Linked DNA regions of Danio rerio. The protein of the gene in region 1 binds, or shares a complex with, the protein of each later gene. Links are inferred from orthologs where the notes say so. Each region holds a gene or a part of one and is shown on either strand. Other genes may lie near its edges.

What was found.
Region 2: ik (region 1) and zmat2 share a complex: the UniProt entries of both Homo sapiens proteins name them as parts of the spliceosome B complex. The link is inferred for Danio rerio from reciprocal best matches to the Homo sapiens genes IK and ZMAT2.

What each region holds. Positions count from the first base shown.
Region 1 is NC_133196.1:47,755,351-47,763,252, forward strand, and holds the start of ik (protein Red), read left to right. Parts: upstream 1-3,695; 5' UTR 3,696-3,762; coding exon 3,763-3,778; intron 3,779-7,639; coding exon 7,640-7,706; intron 7,707-7,902. Other genes in the region: ndufa2 (NADH dehydrogenase [ubiquinone] 1 alpha subcomplex subunit 2), read right to left, coding at 1,213-1,319, 2,115-2,221. UniProt on the Homo sapiens protein: Involved in pre-mRNA splicing as a component of the spliceosome. Auxiliary spliceosomal protein that regulates selection of alternative splice sites in a small set of target pre-mRNA species. Required for normal mitotic cell cycle progression.
Region 2 is NC_133196.1:32,945,774-32,953,742, reverse strand, and holds the start of zmat2 (zinc finger matrin-type protein 2), read right to left. Parts: upstream 4,622-7,969; 5' UTR 4,620-4,621; coding exon 4,602-4,619; intron 3,621-4,601; coding exon 3,530-3,620; intron 3,026-3,529; coding exon 2,902-3,025; intron 2,816-2,901; coding exon 2,742-2,815; intron 1,702-2,741; coding exon 1,556-1,701; intron 1-1,555. Other genes in the region: slbp2 (stem-loop binding protein 2), read left to right, coding at 5,121-5,170, 5,276-5,404, 5,532-5,600, 5,713-5,796, 6,458-6,604, 6,728-6,895. UniProt on the Homo sapiens protein: Involved in pre-mRNA splicing as a component of the spliceosome.

The DNA.
Region 1 (7,902 bases):
ATTCTCATAAACCGCGCGGACGTTAACGCATCTGACTGTTCTGATTGGCTAAACCAGACGTCTCACGTCAGCACGTTCTAGACGTGCACGCGCTCTTTCCGGCAATCTTCCTTCTGCGTTCACACAGAGCAGCATTCCGGCAAATTACCGGTAATCTTACAACTTCTCTTTCTGGAAAATAGCCAGAACGAATTTACTGGTATTTTCAAAAAGGACCTGTTCACACACACAAAATTGCTGGTAATTTTCCGGAAAGGTCTGTATGTGTGAAAGCGGCTATAGTCTCACTATAGTTGTTAAACGTGATGTTTAATTAATCTTGTCTCTATCTAAGGACTCATCTGTTTTTTTAATCTATGAGGTAACGTCACAGCATCAGAACACTGCTTTAATCTTTCGCTTTTACTTAGTAATTTTAGTGTAATTGTTTTAGTGTAATTTTAGTGTGGTTGTGCACCTTTTCTACCAACCAAGTTTGTCGACGCCATTATAACAACACAGATCATTCTGCCAATTCATTCCAAAGTCTTACGGAAATAAGTGATTGACAGGTGGTCATTTGTGTGTAACTTCTCTTTATTTATTTATGAATTGTTTATAGGTAACACAAAGATCATGCGGGTCTGGTAGCTGAAATGGTAGGCTGCAAATAATTTATTACTTATGAATTAATACTCATTAATAATTAATTCAGCGTTTTGAATGTTTTACATTAGACGGGACGACATCGTCCATCACTAATCCTCAATAAATAATAATAAATGTTAACAAAACTGTGCAAGGTAAAAAGTAACAGAGGCTGTGATATCTGCTTCCAGATCTATTTTCAGTCGTCTGACATCCTCATGAAAATATACTATAGTCATTTACTGTAAATACTGCCGTGCTTTAACCATACTGACACAGACAGCTCCAATAGTGATAGAGATGTTGCACAAGCAGCTAAAATGTTTCTAGAATTGGTTTTATGTATGGGCAATATATTCTGCATCACCAGAAATTATTGAGGTCATGTCCGTGTGTTGTGCGATAAGTCCATAAACTGATAATTGTGTAAACGCTGCTCCAACTCAACACACAGCTGACTACAGTGCCGGCTTTATAAAATAATGCACATGACAATTGCGTGTGATTAATCGTTCAGCCAGAGTGAGTAATTAAATAACAGAATTTGTCATTGAGTGAGCTATCCCTTTAAGTGCGTTTCCATACCATATCGAGCCCACAGCACGGGCTGAACTCCAGAGCACTCTCGGATCAGGATGGGGAACTGAGGGTTTGCCTTCTTCAGAGTCACATAATGCTGCTCAATGAAGTCCCTATAATAACAACAAACATCACTCATTACAAAACATAAGCCGGGTACCCCCAGGATCCTCCAAATGAAGTTCAAGACTTTTTAAGACCTTTTTAAGACCATTTCAAATGAAGTTCAAAGCCAACTTCGTACCCCTTCTGACAGAAGTATGAGGGACAAATGTCAAATCTGTATAAATTTTGTACCCTAGACAATAATTATGTACATAGAGGTAAAAATGGTTTTATATTTGCACATTCGTTCATTTAGAAGTCTCTATATTGTTTACCATGTTACTTTTAATATTCGATCTGAATTAGCATGCAAGTGTGACTTGAAAACAACATTAGCACTGTTTATTTGACTGTGAACAATGCTGTACTCTAATAGTCATTGGCTACTTATATGATTTCGCTATTTAGAGTTTGCAAATAATACTTTTATGAAATTATATTATTAAGGGGAAAGTCCGAATGTGCGACTATAAAACCAAATTTACCTCTATATTATGTACAAGTGACTACTTGAATTGAATAAATCATTGTATTTAAATGGTCAGTTATATTTAATACTTACGCAACAGCGAAACACACATCTGATTTTTAATAAACAAATAAATTTGAACTTGGTGTTGAACACTATAACCTTCACTGCTATGCTGTTTAAACTCACTGAAAGCAGAGCAATGTATAAAGCTCACTAGCATTCAGACAACAATAATAACACACACGAACATTTCTGCAGGTGACACACAGACTCTTAGAGGACAGTTCCTCTCCTATATTCTCACACACAATAAGAGCGGTCAGTACTGCACCTGGTGCCCTGGCTGGCAGCTGAGATCTGGCATAAATGCAGGCGGATTTCACGCAGATTCTTTGACAAGTTTGAGCCGATTCCTCGAACCACCGCTGCGGCCGCCATGACTGTCACCTTCACCGGAGGAAGTGCTCTTCTTCTGCTGCTGTTTGCAGCAAATGCCGCTGCATTTGATATACCGCCACCTACTGGAAAGTGTGGTAAAGTATAGAAGGGATACAGCTCACGCGGTTTTTGTGACGCTGTACAACAATTACTATTTTTAATATTCATACTGTAAAGGTTGGGTTCTGGGTTGGGGTAGGCGTTAGTAAAATGGATTATTGAGTAATTTAATAAATAATATAAATAATACTTGGTATAATTTTTATATACTGTGTGGGTTAGGGTATATGGAGGACGAAACCTGCAAAACAAAAAAATAAACAATTACGCAAATAAATAAATAAATAAATAAATAAATAAATAAATAAACACAAATTCCTGCATCAGTAAAACAATTAGATAAATAAAAGAATAAATAAATAAAGAAATAAATACCTGCATAAATAAAACAACAATTAAATAAATAAATGAATAAATAAATACACAAGTTACTGCATAAATAAAACAATACATAAATAAATACACAAATTAATAAACAAATCTATATATAAATACACAAGTTCCTGCATAAATAAAACAATAAATAGATAAATAAATACACAAATAAATAAATGAATAAATACACAAGTTCCTGCAAAAATAAAACAATAAATAAATAGATAAATAAATACGTAAATAAATAAATAAATACACAAGTTCCTGCATAAATGAAACAATAAATAAATATATACGCTGTAAATAAATAAATGTATATATATATATGAACAAAACCTGCAAATATATATATATAAAGTCTACTTTAAGTTTTCTTATTCCTCCAGCATTAATTATTAATCTGTCCACACTATATTTATATATTTATTTATGCAGGGATTTGTGTGTGTGTGTGTGTGTGTGTGTATATATATATATATATATATATATATATATATATATATATATATATATATATATATATATATATATATAATTCTTTTATTTATTTATTGTTTTATTCATGTAGAATTTTGTGGATTTATTATTTAATTTATTTGCATATTTATTAATTTATTTATTTATTTATTGTATTTTGAAGGTTTTGTCCTCCATAGAGATGGGGGTAGACGTTAATAAAATGCATTAATGGATAATTTAATAAATAATATGAATAATACCCTGTATAATCACTGTTTTTACATTATTGTGAGGGTTGGAGTAGGGATAGAGGTTAATACAATACAATCAATGGGTAATTTAATAAATAATATGAATAATATTCGGTATAATTAGGGTTTTTACATCACTGTGAGGGTTGGGTCCAGGATTGAAGTCGAGGTAAAAGTTAATAAAATACAATTTAGTTGAACATTTTATAAATAATGTAAATAATTCTCTTTAACCTCTGGCCGCAGCTGTATCCCTTCTAGCAACAACCGTATTCATCCAGCTCAACAAGAGGCGCTGCTGCTGCGAAAGCAGACAAAAAAGCGGAAGTGACATCAAGAGACGCACTATCAACATTGGAGTGCGTTGTGTTTTGGAGCTAGTAGTTTTATTTCATCATGCCTGAACGCGAAAGTAAGTATGATATGCAATTTATTTCTTATTTATGCGATGAGGGAGCGACAAAACAGACAGTGAATTAACGTTAGTATAATAAGCGAACATTTGCGCTGTTATGTTTTGCTAACACTCGCCTGTGTCTCCTGTGTAGATCGTTAAGGAAATGCGATGTTCATACAAAGATGATATTAGTGCACATGTAGTGAAATATGCATTATAACAATCCAAAGCAGACACTTCTCTAGTGTTTTACATTGCTGCAGAGTCCAGAAATGAAGTGACTGCTTCATAATTGACTCCAGATTTATGATTGGGGTAAAGTTGGCTTTATATTTGCACTTTCTCCTTAATAATATAATTTCAGAAGAGTAAAAGTAGTAAATTCATATTATCAGCCATTGACTATCATAGTACAACACTGTTCACTGTCAATTAATTAGTGCCAATGTTGTTTTTAAGTCATTCTTGCATGTGATTTCAGAATGAATATTGGAAAGTACCATGGTATACAATCTAGGGAGTAGGGCTGCACATTATATCGTTTCAACATTGATATCTCAATGTGCGCATCCGCAATAGTCACATCGCATAGATATGCAATGTCCAGTCTAGGCATGGGACGATAACTGCTTTCAAAGTATACCTTAGTTTGAGAAAGTCAATGTTTTAAAACCGTCAACATTTTCTGCTATACCGTTCCTAAGGTATGAGTAAGATTTTTTTATTTACATTTTTTATTTTTAGGGTCAGCAGTATCTCCAACAGAAAAGGTTTCCAAAGATGCTGTTTAAATCGTAAAGAACTCTGTGTTTTTAAAACTAATTAAGACTGCAGGAGTCAATTATTAAAGTTCGTCGAGACAAACTTTAGGCTGGGGTTGAGAAAATCTGTTGGAAATAGTTTATTTAGTTTAAACAGTTTTAAAAAGTATGAAAAGATGATAGATAGAAAGACAGTAATAGATAGATAGATAGATAGATAGATAGATAGATAGATAGATAGATAGATAGATAGATAGATAAAAGCAGTTTGAAAAAGGACAGATAATTTTGAGGTCACAAAGTTAGATCTAATGTAAATCAATGACAGTCTTTTGCAATGGAAGTCTATGGGACAGTTGTTGCTAGGGTGCAGTATGTGGTAGTTAGGGGTGTGGCTAGAAAGTTAAAAGCTCATCAGTTATTGGTAGTTTGGTAGTCTGAGTTAAATGAGCTCAGCCATTAGTCTGTAAGACAATCTGATGCAGAGTTATGAGCTCACAAAGTTTGATCCCATGTTAAGTCAATGAGAGTCTTTTGAATGGAAGTCTATGGGACAGTTTCTAGGATCCAAAAGTGGTTGCTAGGGCGTGGCCAGAAAGTTAAAAGCTCATCAGTTATTGGCAGTTAGGTAGTCTGAGTTAAATGAGCCCAGTTAGAAGTCTGTGTGACAGTCTGACGCAGAGTTATGAGGTCACAAAGTTTGGTCCAATGTTAAGTCTATGGGATTTTTCCGACGGTCCCGGGACGTTTTTCAGAAAACCGAAAGTCGGATCAGTCGGAAAAGATATAGCATATTACCGAGTCAGAATAGTTTGGAGGTCTGGTGTGAGTTTGGTGGTCATAGCTCGAAAGCTCTAGGAGGAGATAGATTTTGAATTTTAGTCTCAGAAGAAGAAGAAGAATAAAAATATTAAGTTTAAATAGGTTTTCAGTAGTCTGGCTTGTTTCCCAAGCCAGCCTAATAATTATTTAGCCTGACATGTTTACTGTTCTGAAATACTTAAAATGTTTCCCAAATTAAAATATATTGTGTACAAAGGGGGGAAAAGGTTTTGTTCTTTACCCAGTCATTTAAAAAGATTATATTTTAGAGCAGTAATCTCAGTAATCTCAAACAGTGATATTTATATGCAAGGTTATCATACCGTCAGAATCTTATGCTGGCCCATGCCTAGTCCAGTCTGTATTATAGATGACCAGGATTTAATCAAATGCACTTTATATGATTCATGCAAAAAACATTTCATTCATTAATCTCTTAATATACCTTTTTTCCTTCTGACGGTCAAAACAAAACAATATTTTTACTTGGTCTAAGAATTTAGTTGATATTTGGACTAGAAATGAGACGAAAAAAGTAAAAATATATATATTTTTTGCATTGTGATTATTGAATTTCTGTACCGGAATACACTGAGGTAAAGTTGGTTTTATATTCACACAATCAGACTTTCTCCTTAATAATAGAATTTCTAAAAAGTATTCTTTGCAAATTTTGAATAGTGAATACTAGGGATGTAACGGTATCAGAATTTCACGGTATGGTAATACCTCGGTATGAATGTCACGGTACGGTATTTATTGAATCATTTACAGGAAAAAACAAAACTAATGAAAATACTCCAAAAAAGTGCCAAAAGTGTCAATGGCATACAAATTAGTCATCTATCTGTAAGCTTTGAAACAGGAACTTCAATTTTAATAACAAAAAATTATTAAACCATGTAAAAAATAAAGTTTCAATTTAGTATTGTTGAAAACTCATCACATTCAACATTTAATCACTCACTCACTTAGATAGAGATGGGTTTTAAGGAAAATTATCATATAAATATAATCTGGTAAAAGCTGGTATCTCTGGGTATTTACAATGTCCCCTGCAACAGAAAAAAACCCTCTCATTTGGGACTGAGGTTTCTGGGACAGAGAGATATGACTTGGCCCAGGTTGACAGCAGTGGGTAACGTTGTGCATTGTCTTTCCCCCACTTGAGTGGACAAACCATGAGTGAGATAGAGGTCTCATGTCTGCGTCAATCTGAACAGTGCGCTGTGTTTCTGCAGTCCACATGACTGTTATTAGTCGTATTCCCCAACTTGCAGGCACGTGCACACACAGTGCTCAACCTGTGCAGTGCACTTGCCCTTTTTAGTCTTGGATAGAAAGTTCCCTTCCAAAATGATCAAAAGTGCCCCCGCGAAGCGACACAACCTCCGTCCCGCTTTACAGTACGCGCGCGACAACACAGCTGATCAGAACTTGCGCGACAACACAGCTGATCAGAACGCGCGCGACAACACCGCTATTCAGTACCCGCGCGACAACACAGCTGATAAGAACTCGCGCGACAACACCGCTATTCAGTACGCGTGCGGCGACAACACCCGCTTTAGATTCGATCATTTCCAGCTCTTTTTCATCCCTGCTACTAGCAGCACACTCCATTTCCGCATTACTGGATCTGTAGCGACAACAGACCGCAAAGGATGATGGCCACGCCTGGGCTGATGGGAATTGTAGTTCCCGCTACCTCCCGTTCGCTTCATTCGCCTGAGCAAATTTTCTCAGAAGACCTATAGTTTTACCGAGTCATGCGACTACGGTAATATCGAAAAAAATTAATATTGCGGTATGACGGTATTTACAATATCGTTACATCCCTAGTGAATACGTATTTGCAGCCAATGACTTTTAAAATTACAGCATTGTTGACAGTCAAATAAATAGTGCCAGTGTTGTTTTCAAGTCATACTTGCATGCGATTTCAGACCGAATGTTCAAAGTACCATAGTAAACAATATAGGGAGCATGTCACAAGTTGTCATTGAATGAACGTGTGAATATAAAACCAACTTTACCTCAATCCCGAATACTGTTAGACTACCCAGAAAACCGTCAAATAGATCTTGTGAAACTGTATTTATATTGCAATATTTATCGTAATAAATATTAATCGTAATATTAGATTTTTCCAATATTAGCCCTTATAGTGAGCATGTAACAAGTACTAAACGAATGTGTGAATATGAAACCAACTTAACCTCAGTTAGTTCTTCTTTCTGTTGTGTACAGTAATGTCCTAATAACGTGTCTGTCTGTTTTTTCCGTCTTTCAGCTGATGTGTACTCTAATCCTCTGGCTCCAGATGGCCATGAGGTGGAGGACCACCGGTCAGCGCTGCAGTAAGTGCTCTTCACCATCACTCGCTGATAGGGCTGAATTATACTTCTGCATCGAGTGAATACTGTAATCCACAGTACCTGTACCGGCATTTATACTTCTGTATTTTGTTCGTGTTGCTCTGCAATAACACTTCCGAAACCCTAGCTGGCAGCAGGGCTCCATTTGGAGCAATCACAAAGCTTGTGCTATGTGTCG
Region 2 (7,969 bases), about 15 Mb from region 1:
TGACTGAAAAATGCTTATTCATGAATAGTCATGGGACGCTAACCGTTTTTAAGGTTTACCACGCTTCGTAAAAGTCAAGGTTTTAAAATTGCCAAATGTTTCTGTAATACCGTTCCTTATTAAGTTTTTAGCTATGATACAAAAACATTCCGCATAAATCCACAGATTTTTTTATAATATTCTGCACAGAAATAACAAAAAATGTCCGCAGATTCTGTCTGGCCATAGTTAAAGGTCACAAACGGCTTTAAACAATGTCCAATCGGAACATGTTGCTCAATACTCAGATTTCACATTGATGTAAATGCCTTTATTGGCATTCTATCAGTTTATTTATGTTCGCATGTGCATGTGAGGAAAACATCACACATAAACATCAGAACTATTGTTATCTGTGAATTCCATCGGGACTAACTGCTCCTACCAGTCCATCCTACAGACACACATTCAGCTTGAGTGGGCACTTCTAGACAGGGGCGGCAGTAATATATCATACACTGCAGCTCTTAATTGTCTTAATAGAGCAAAAAATCATGTCATCAACTCATGCAGTCGATGCAGAATCATCAAAAGTTTTGCATTCACAGTGACTGTAAAGAAGCCATAATATACAACAGCACTGCTTCACATGCTAATGTTTGGCATATGATATCAGCTCAGCTGCTCGTAAGAAAACCTTCATGTAAAATTTCATGCAAATTTCATGGTTGTCTGCATAGCCGATTTACTGATTTACAAGTAAACTTCTAAAAGCGTTTCTGACATACTAACATTTTTGACAATTCTCTGCTTATTTTGTGCATGTTAACACACAAAGAAAAAAAAAAAGTCACATTTTCACATTTAATCTTCACCTATTTGCACGGCAAGTGTTTTTCAGCCACCGATAAACTTCAGTTGAAAGGTTTATTTGACCGTTTTCAATTTCAAAAGGATCCTTTTACAGCATTGTTAATGTAATTGGTCACACTTTAAAATAAGATTTCATAGGTTAATGTATTTACTAACATGAACTAATTATGTTAAAATATATGCTGTAATATAATAATTACAATACTCGTGCAGCATTTTTAATCATAGTTTAACATTTACTAATCCAAATTCATGCTTGAACTAACAAACAACATTGTTTTATTTAATGAACATTAACTGACATGGTTTTAGCATGTATTTAATTAAAACATAATTGGTTAAATGGACTTCAGCATTAATTTGGTTTGTAAAGTCTAAAAAAAAAGAATGAAAAGCTGTTTAAACAAGCACTGTCAAGAGCAGCAGGTGAGTGCAGAAACTATTGAAAATGCTGTGACAAAGTAAATTTCCATATTTTAAAGACATGGCTCAGAACAATGCCATTTAATGCAGTGCTTCTTGTCCAGTGCGAGACCCACTTCATATCAATTCATCAGTGAAGAGCATTGATTTTTAACAAATCAGATCTTAAATGTGCAGAGTTTATAATTGCACGACAGTTCACCGGAAGAGCTTAAGCTGGCTTATGCAAAGTTAAATGAAGTATGTCACAAATGAAATGAACCTCAGTTACAACACTGACCTCCTCTCGTAACTCCTTCATTCGTTCCTCAAAGTCATACTCTTTCTGCTTTTCCTCCAGCTTTTTCTTGTTCACTTCAAAACGTTTCTTTACTTGGTCCAGCGAAGAGCGCTCTACTCGCATCGACATTCCCAGATTCCTCTGATCTGTGAGCCAGCAAAATAAATGTATGGTGTTATGCACTGACATGTATTAAAAATGCCACTGACCAGTGGAGCAGTCAATAAATTTATATTTTTTAACAGAAATACAACAACTAGATATTGATTTACATGAGCAACATAAAGAATAATAATAAACAGAGCTGCTACAAACAAGTACATATAGATTCATTTGATTAAATTAAAGTGTTCATAATTTATCTTATCAGATATTACCGTTTATTTTGTGTATGACATTTATTTATATAGCATAACTACTTTCATTGACTGATGTGCTCTCCAACAAAGTTTTCAGGAACATCTGGATGATGGTAGGTGCCTATCTTTTAACTTTTATCTGTTTTCTTATAATATATAGGCAAGTCTGAAAATAAAAGCAGATTTTTTCCCCACACTGATGCCTCTTGTACATCATGGGAGAAGCCTGTGTCACTTTCGGTTAAAAGCAACCACTTGCTGGTTGAATAAAATTATCTTTAAGTCAGAATATGCCAGGGGTTTGAATAATTTCGGACTTGACAAAATATAAGTATATCTTTTTGTGACATATATGTCTGTCAGGTTTTGAATATCAAAGTGGATATTTAAAGTGTGGTTATTTTCTCCCAATAGAAAGAATCTATATTAAAAGGTATGAAATGAGTCATCAGTATTTCCAGTCCTATTTCCTGCACAAGCCTATGTAGATTTGTTACAAAGTTTCATAAAGCCAACCTGAGTACTGTTTTCTCCACCGCAAAAACAAAACTACCGTGAAGCAATGATACAGAATCAACATTTGAAATCAACTCTGAGAAATGAGTTAATAATGTAAAGTTTGAGAAAATGAAAGTGCTTTTTGACTTTGGATGGATCTGAACCTATTGTAAGAGACTTCCGCAACAAAAATATCCTTTAAAATAGAATACAATTTACGATATTGCACAGAAGGCTTTCTATAGGGAGTGTGTCTACATGCAAACCACATTTTATCTACAAGATGTTGTGCAAATTATAAGAAAGAACAAAGACCTTATAATACTTACGTTTTTTACCATTGATATGATCCAAGAAATTGATGGAATCCTTTACTACACAATCACACACATTGCAGTAATACCTTAGAATGAAAAAAAAATAGTATATTAATATTTTATTATTAATATTTATACTAAAACATAAATACAAGTTTCAGGTTACACCCACCCTCCCATCTCAGCCTGTGGTGTGGTCTTCGTGATGACGATTGTTTTCCCCAGTTTTGACTCCAGATCCACTTTATAATCTCTGTGGCGGAGGAGCTCCCGCTTGATGGGGGGCACAGGCTTGCCTGGAGAACAAAAAAGAAGAATGACATAGGAAATATTGGCCAGAATTATTTACGTTTGTAAAATATTTAGGCATGAGAGAATTATTTCAGTTTGTTGTCAGCATATGGGTTTATTTGACCATACTTCATTTAATTTACTGAATAAAGATACAACTTACATATACAAAAAAATTCCACTGAACGTTTATCAGAATTTATCATTTGTTATTATGTGTTTGAGTGAGACATAATTTTGGTTTTATTCTGTGAACTACTGATGATATTTTTTTTACAAATGTTAAATAAAATAGACATTTTCTGGAAAAAAAGGAAAAGCTCTGATGTACAATATTTATCTAATTTAATTTTTGGAAGAAATATTATTAGACTTACAGAATAAAACAAATATTTTACATTTTATATCCAATGAATTCAGAGAAATTGAGAATTTACAAGTGATCCTTTAGTTTTTTTGTCTCTGATAACTGTATATACTGAAGGGTTTTTAGGGTTGTTTTAGCTTACCATCTTTTTTCTCTCTCTCCTCTGTGATTCGTTTCTGGGCCAGCTGTTCATATTCATCCTTGTCCCATTTCCGTCGAAAATCATTCTTGGACTAGAAACGAGAATATGATTGTAAATGATGAAGGTACAATTTAAGACATTTTAAGGACCTTTTAAAGACCTCGCAATGAAAATGTAATGAATCATTTTAAGGGAACACAACATACAAACACTGAGTTGCAGAAACAATGAGTTGTATATACTTGGCTAAACTTTTAGGTTTGAATATACCAATCTGTATTATTCACGGTACTTTTTGTCACACTGTAAAAAGCACATTCTTCCTTGGTGTTCTATCCTTTCCATTACTCATGTCTAAAGATTATGAAATCATAATAGATTTTTAATAGATATGAGACTAAAATGAGCTCAGAAATAAACACTCAAACAGCAAAGTCATTTTTCTTCTTTAATAACAAACAATATATTAAACTTTTTAAATTATTTATCGAGTAAATGAAACCTCATTTAAGGACGTTTATGATTTTTATAAAGGAAAACATAAAAATATTGAGGAAAATATAAACTTTTGCGGAGTATGCAACATTTAATGCCTTAGAAAGTATAAATATCTGCTGATTTAAAACCTTTTTTAAGGGATTATTGTCTAATTTAAACTTTAAAGGCCCACATAAATCTTAATTTTAAACATTTTAATAGCATAACCATGACAGTTGAATAACGTTAAGCAAATCTACTGGAACTGCACAAAAAACGTCTGTACAAAAGATCGAACATAAATAAGCCATAATATGATTATACTAATAGATTAACTATGATTTTAAAAAGATAATACAAGGCAATATAGGTAACGAAACGCTTTACAACTGAAATATATCTGTTTTTCTTCTTGTTCACAACAAAACAAAACCATCTGGCGTCACAACATCGGCCAGTTTTTTCTTCATTCACCTTTTACGATACCAACATTTGCTAACACATGACGCTACAAAATAAATACTTTCCTAAATTACGTTTAAAGTAAGCGGATAGACTAAAATAACATATAAACAAGTCTTAACAGAATTCTTACCCCACTGCCTGACGCCATTTTGCTATGAGGATGCCGTAAAGCGTGTGCGGCTGCCGTAAACAAGCGCCCCTGCCGAACTGCTGTTACTATTTTGCCGACTGTAAAAGTGTCATCATGCTTGGTAATTGTTTTTTTTTACTTTATTTATATGTTTGGGCTTCAAATAAGTTATGCTTACATTTAGTCAAAAACCTGTTTAATGACTACATTTGTGACAAGCCTACTGTATTATTCCTCTCGTTACTTGGACAATTTTCTTCAATGTGTCTAAATAGAGACATACTATTTCACTACAAGAATTTTACATCTACATGTTTAAATCAGTGAAATAAAAACCGTTATTAAATAAAACGTTAATTAAAATAATATCGATTTGATAAATCATTATTATTATTATTTTTTTTAATAATTAGCGGCCTTACCTGTCTCATTTGTAGAGCCCCGCCCCCGTTACACCTGTCGCTGATAAAAAGCTTTGTCAAGCGCAATGTGTTGTGTGGCTGTACGTTAGCCAAAATCATGACAACACGCATAGAAAGCCTTCTTCAAAGCCCCTTTGAGTCGCGGTTGTATGTTTCAAAGCTTGTTTTGTGCCTTTAAAGTGTCCTCATGTGTTGTTGTCCTCATGTAGTATCGTAAAACACTTTGTATTTTGTTATTTTTTTGTGATTTAGAGGTCTGCCTCTTCACTTGTGGCCAACAGACGTTGCTCAAGACTTCAGTAGTAAAACCCTCTCTCTCCCATGTAGCCCAGAGCCTTGGCTGCTTCCTGGCTGCAGTTCAGTGTATGATAGTCTTGTCAGGTAAATGTGTTTCTGTTGATTTAAGGAACCTTTTTATTTATTTATTTTTATTATAATTATTATTTTGGGGGGGGGTGGAACTTGAAAATGTTGTGTTGAGAAACCCTGCACATTGTTTTTCCCTCAGCTGCTCTAAAACCCCACTGTCTGCTTCACAAAATGGAGAAAAGCCTTCTGCTGTTCAGAAGCCTCGCAGGTATGCTTTTTTTTCTTTTTTATAATTTGTTACTGGTTGTCTTGTGAATAGTTTTTTCTTAATTCCAAATGATCTGTTAGTGCCTTTAATTATTTTATTATTCACTCTTCAGGTCCTCCATCCTTGAGCGATGCATACTTAGGATGTCTACAGCTAGTGTAGCTGTTGGGACGGAAGATCTTGATGGGGTCAAGAGGTCTAACTAATCCTTTTTTTTTTTTTTTTTTTTTTTTTTTTTTTAGTTTTGAGTGTGTGTGTGTGGTTTTTATTATTTTTAAATGAAAGAAAAATGGATGTTTGTGTATTTTATTATATATATATATATATATATATATATATATATATATATATATATATATATATATATATATATATATATATATAATTTTATGTTTATTTTTTATTTATTTATTTTTTAAAGTAATTCGTCAAGTGACAACACAGCTTTACAGAAATGCCACATGACACTCGCATGTTAAAATCAAATTTGTTATGGGGTTTTGGAAACCGAGTGTTTTTTTTTCTCTTCCCCTCTCTCTACTTCACATGAAAATGTGTACAACCATGTATTGCATTATTTAAACCTGAAACACTTATGGTATTTTTTTTGTGAGGGAACATGCATTATTTTAAAAGGATAAAAATTCAGGGAAAAAAAAGTTAAAAAAAAAAAAAAAAAAAAAAAAAGCTCTATATAAAAATGTTCCATGTGTGGTTTTAAAGATGAAGCTCTAAGTTTTTTTTTTTTTTTTTTTTTTTCTAGGCATGTTCCTCAACTTAAAGCATGCAAGTGTTTTATTAATTTTTTTTTTAATTATTTAATATAATGCAAGTATTGTTTTACTCTAATGTTGTAGGTCACCATCAAGGGGAAAGTGGTATCCCCATAATGCTGACCCTTCTCATTTTGAGATCAATGAGGCTGTTTTGAAGCGTAGGCAAAAGCAGATTCAGTATGGGAAGAATACCTGTGGCTACCAGAACTACGTTCAGCAGGTTCCAAAGTGAGTTGTGGTGAACGTAAATATCCAACTATTAGCTGCTAGTGTTCACTTTTCTTCTTGGATGCCCTTCTGATTGTATTAAGAGCGTAACTAATCTTTCTGGCTTCTGTCTCCTCTGTTCAGGCGTCTGCGTGTCCCTGGAATTCATCCTTCCACTCCAAACAAATACCGCAAATATAGCCGCAGATCTTGGGACATGCAAGTCCGGCTTTGGAGGAGAGCACTTCATGCTTGGGACCTGCCATCTGCATCGCAAAATGATACTGAAGGACAAGACCCTGTTGATCAACTGTAAGTTTTATAGGCTGAATAGAGCTTTTCACACATGAAATGGTAAACGCTGTCTCATTCTCAACCTGGTAGTAAATTTAACTACATAATCTGATCACGAATATGATCTACTTGTAATTGGATCACATTTGTAATATACTCCATAATCATGGAATTCAAATAGTAAGATTGCATGTCATTTATTGCAATTTTTGCAATTGGTGGCCTTCACCAATTATTAATTCTAAGAAAAAAGAGAAAGAATTGGGAAAATTCTTATGTTATCTCTTTTTCATGTTTTTGATTGTTTGTTAATGTAATCCAGGAATTATAAACATTTCCCCCACCCCTCTGGGCTTAACCACTCTTACCTGAGTGCCGCTCATGTTACCATATTAACATGTATATTTAATTTAAATTAACTCCTAATTTGAATTTTCCAATGACTGAATTCTTGCAAATCATCAGTTTGGTAAACTTTTTTTTTTTTTTTTTTTTTATTGTTTATTATTATTATTATTATTATTATAGTATTTGCAGACATAGAAAAGGAACAGACAGACAAACCCAACGTGATGATCTGTGCAAAATTTAAAGCATGAACTGAAGGAAAATTTGTGACAAGACATGACCTATAAAAAGAGATGGCAGTGGATGTAAAAGGAGGGAGGGGGGGGGGGGGGGATACAAATCTTCAGAAATTATACATTATTAGTCTATGTTGTGTTGGGGTAAAAAAAAGACTGGATCCCACATTTTATCAAATTTTGTAGAGTTACCAGAGGTGGTATGTTAAATTCTTTCCTAATATAAAGTCAAGATGAGTTCAAGAAGCCAGTCAGAAAAAGAGGCCTTGCATTTCTCTTCCAGAAACAAAGGATAACTTTCTTAGCTATGAGCATGCCATACTGAACGGGTAAATGTACATTTTCATTTGAGAGTCTCCAGAAAATCTGACCAACCCAAAATTGCTATCATTGGGTCAGGGTTTACATGTTTTAATACACCAAATTTGTGTGTTTTTGTTTAGTTTTTGGTTTTTATGCAAGATCGTTTTGGTACAAAATCAAATCCTAGATTTGGTCACGTATTTTA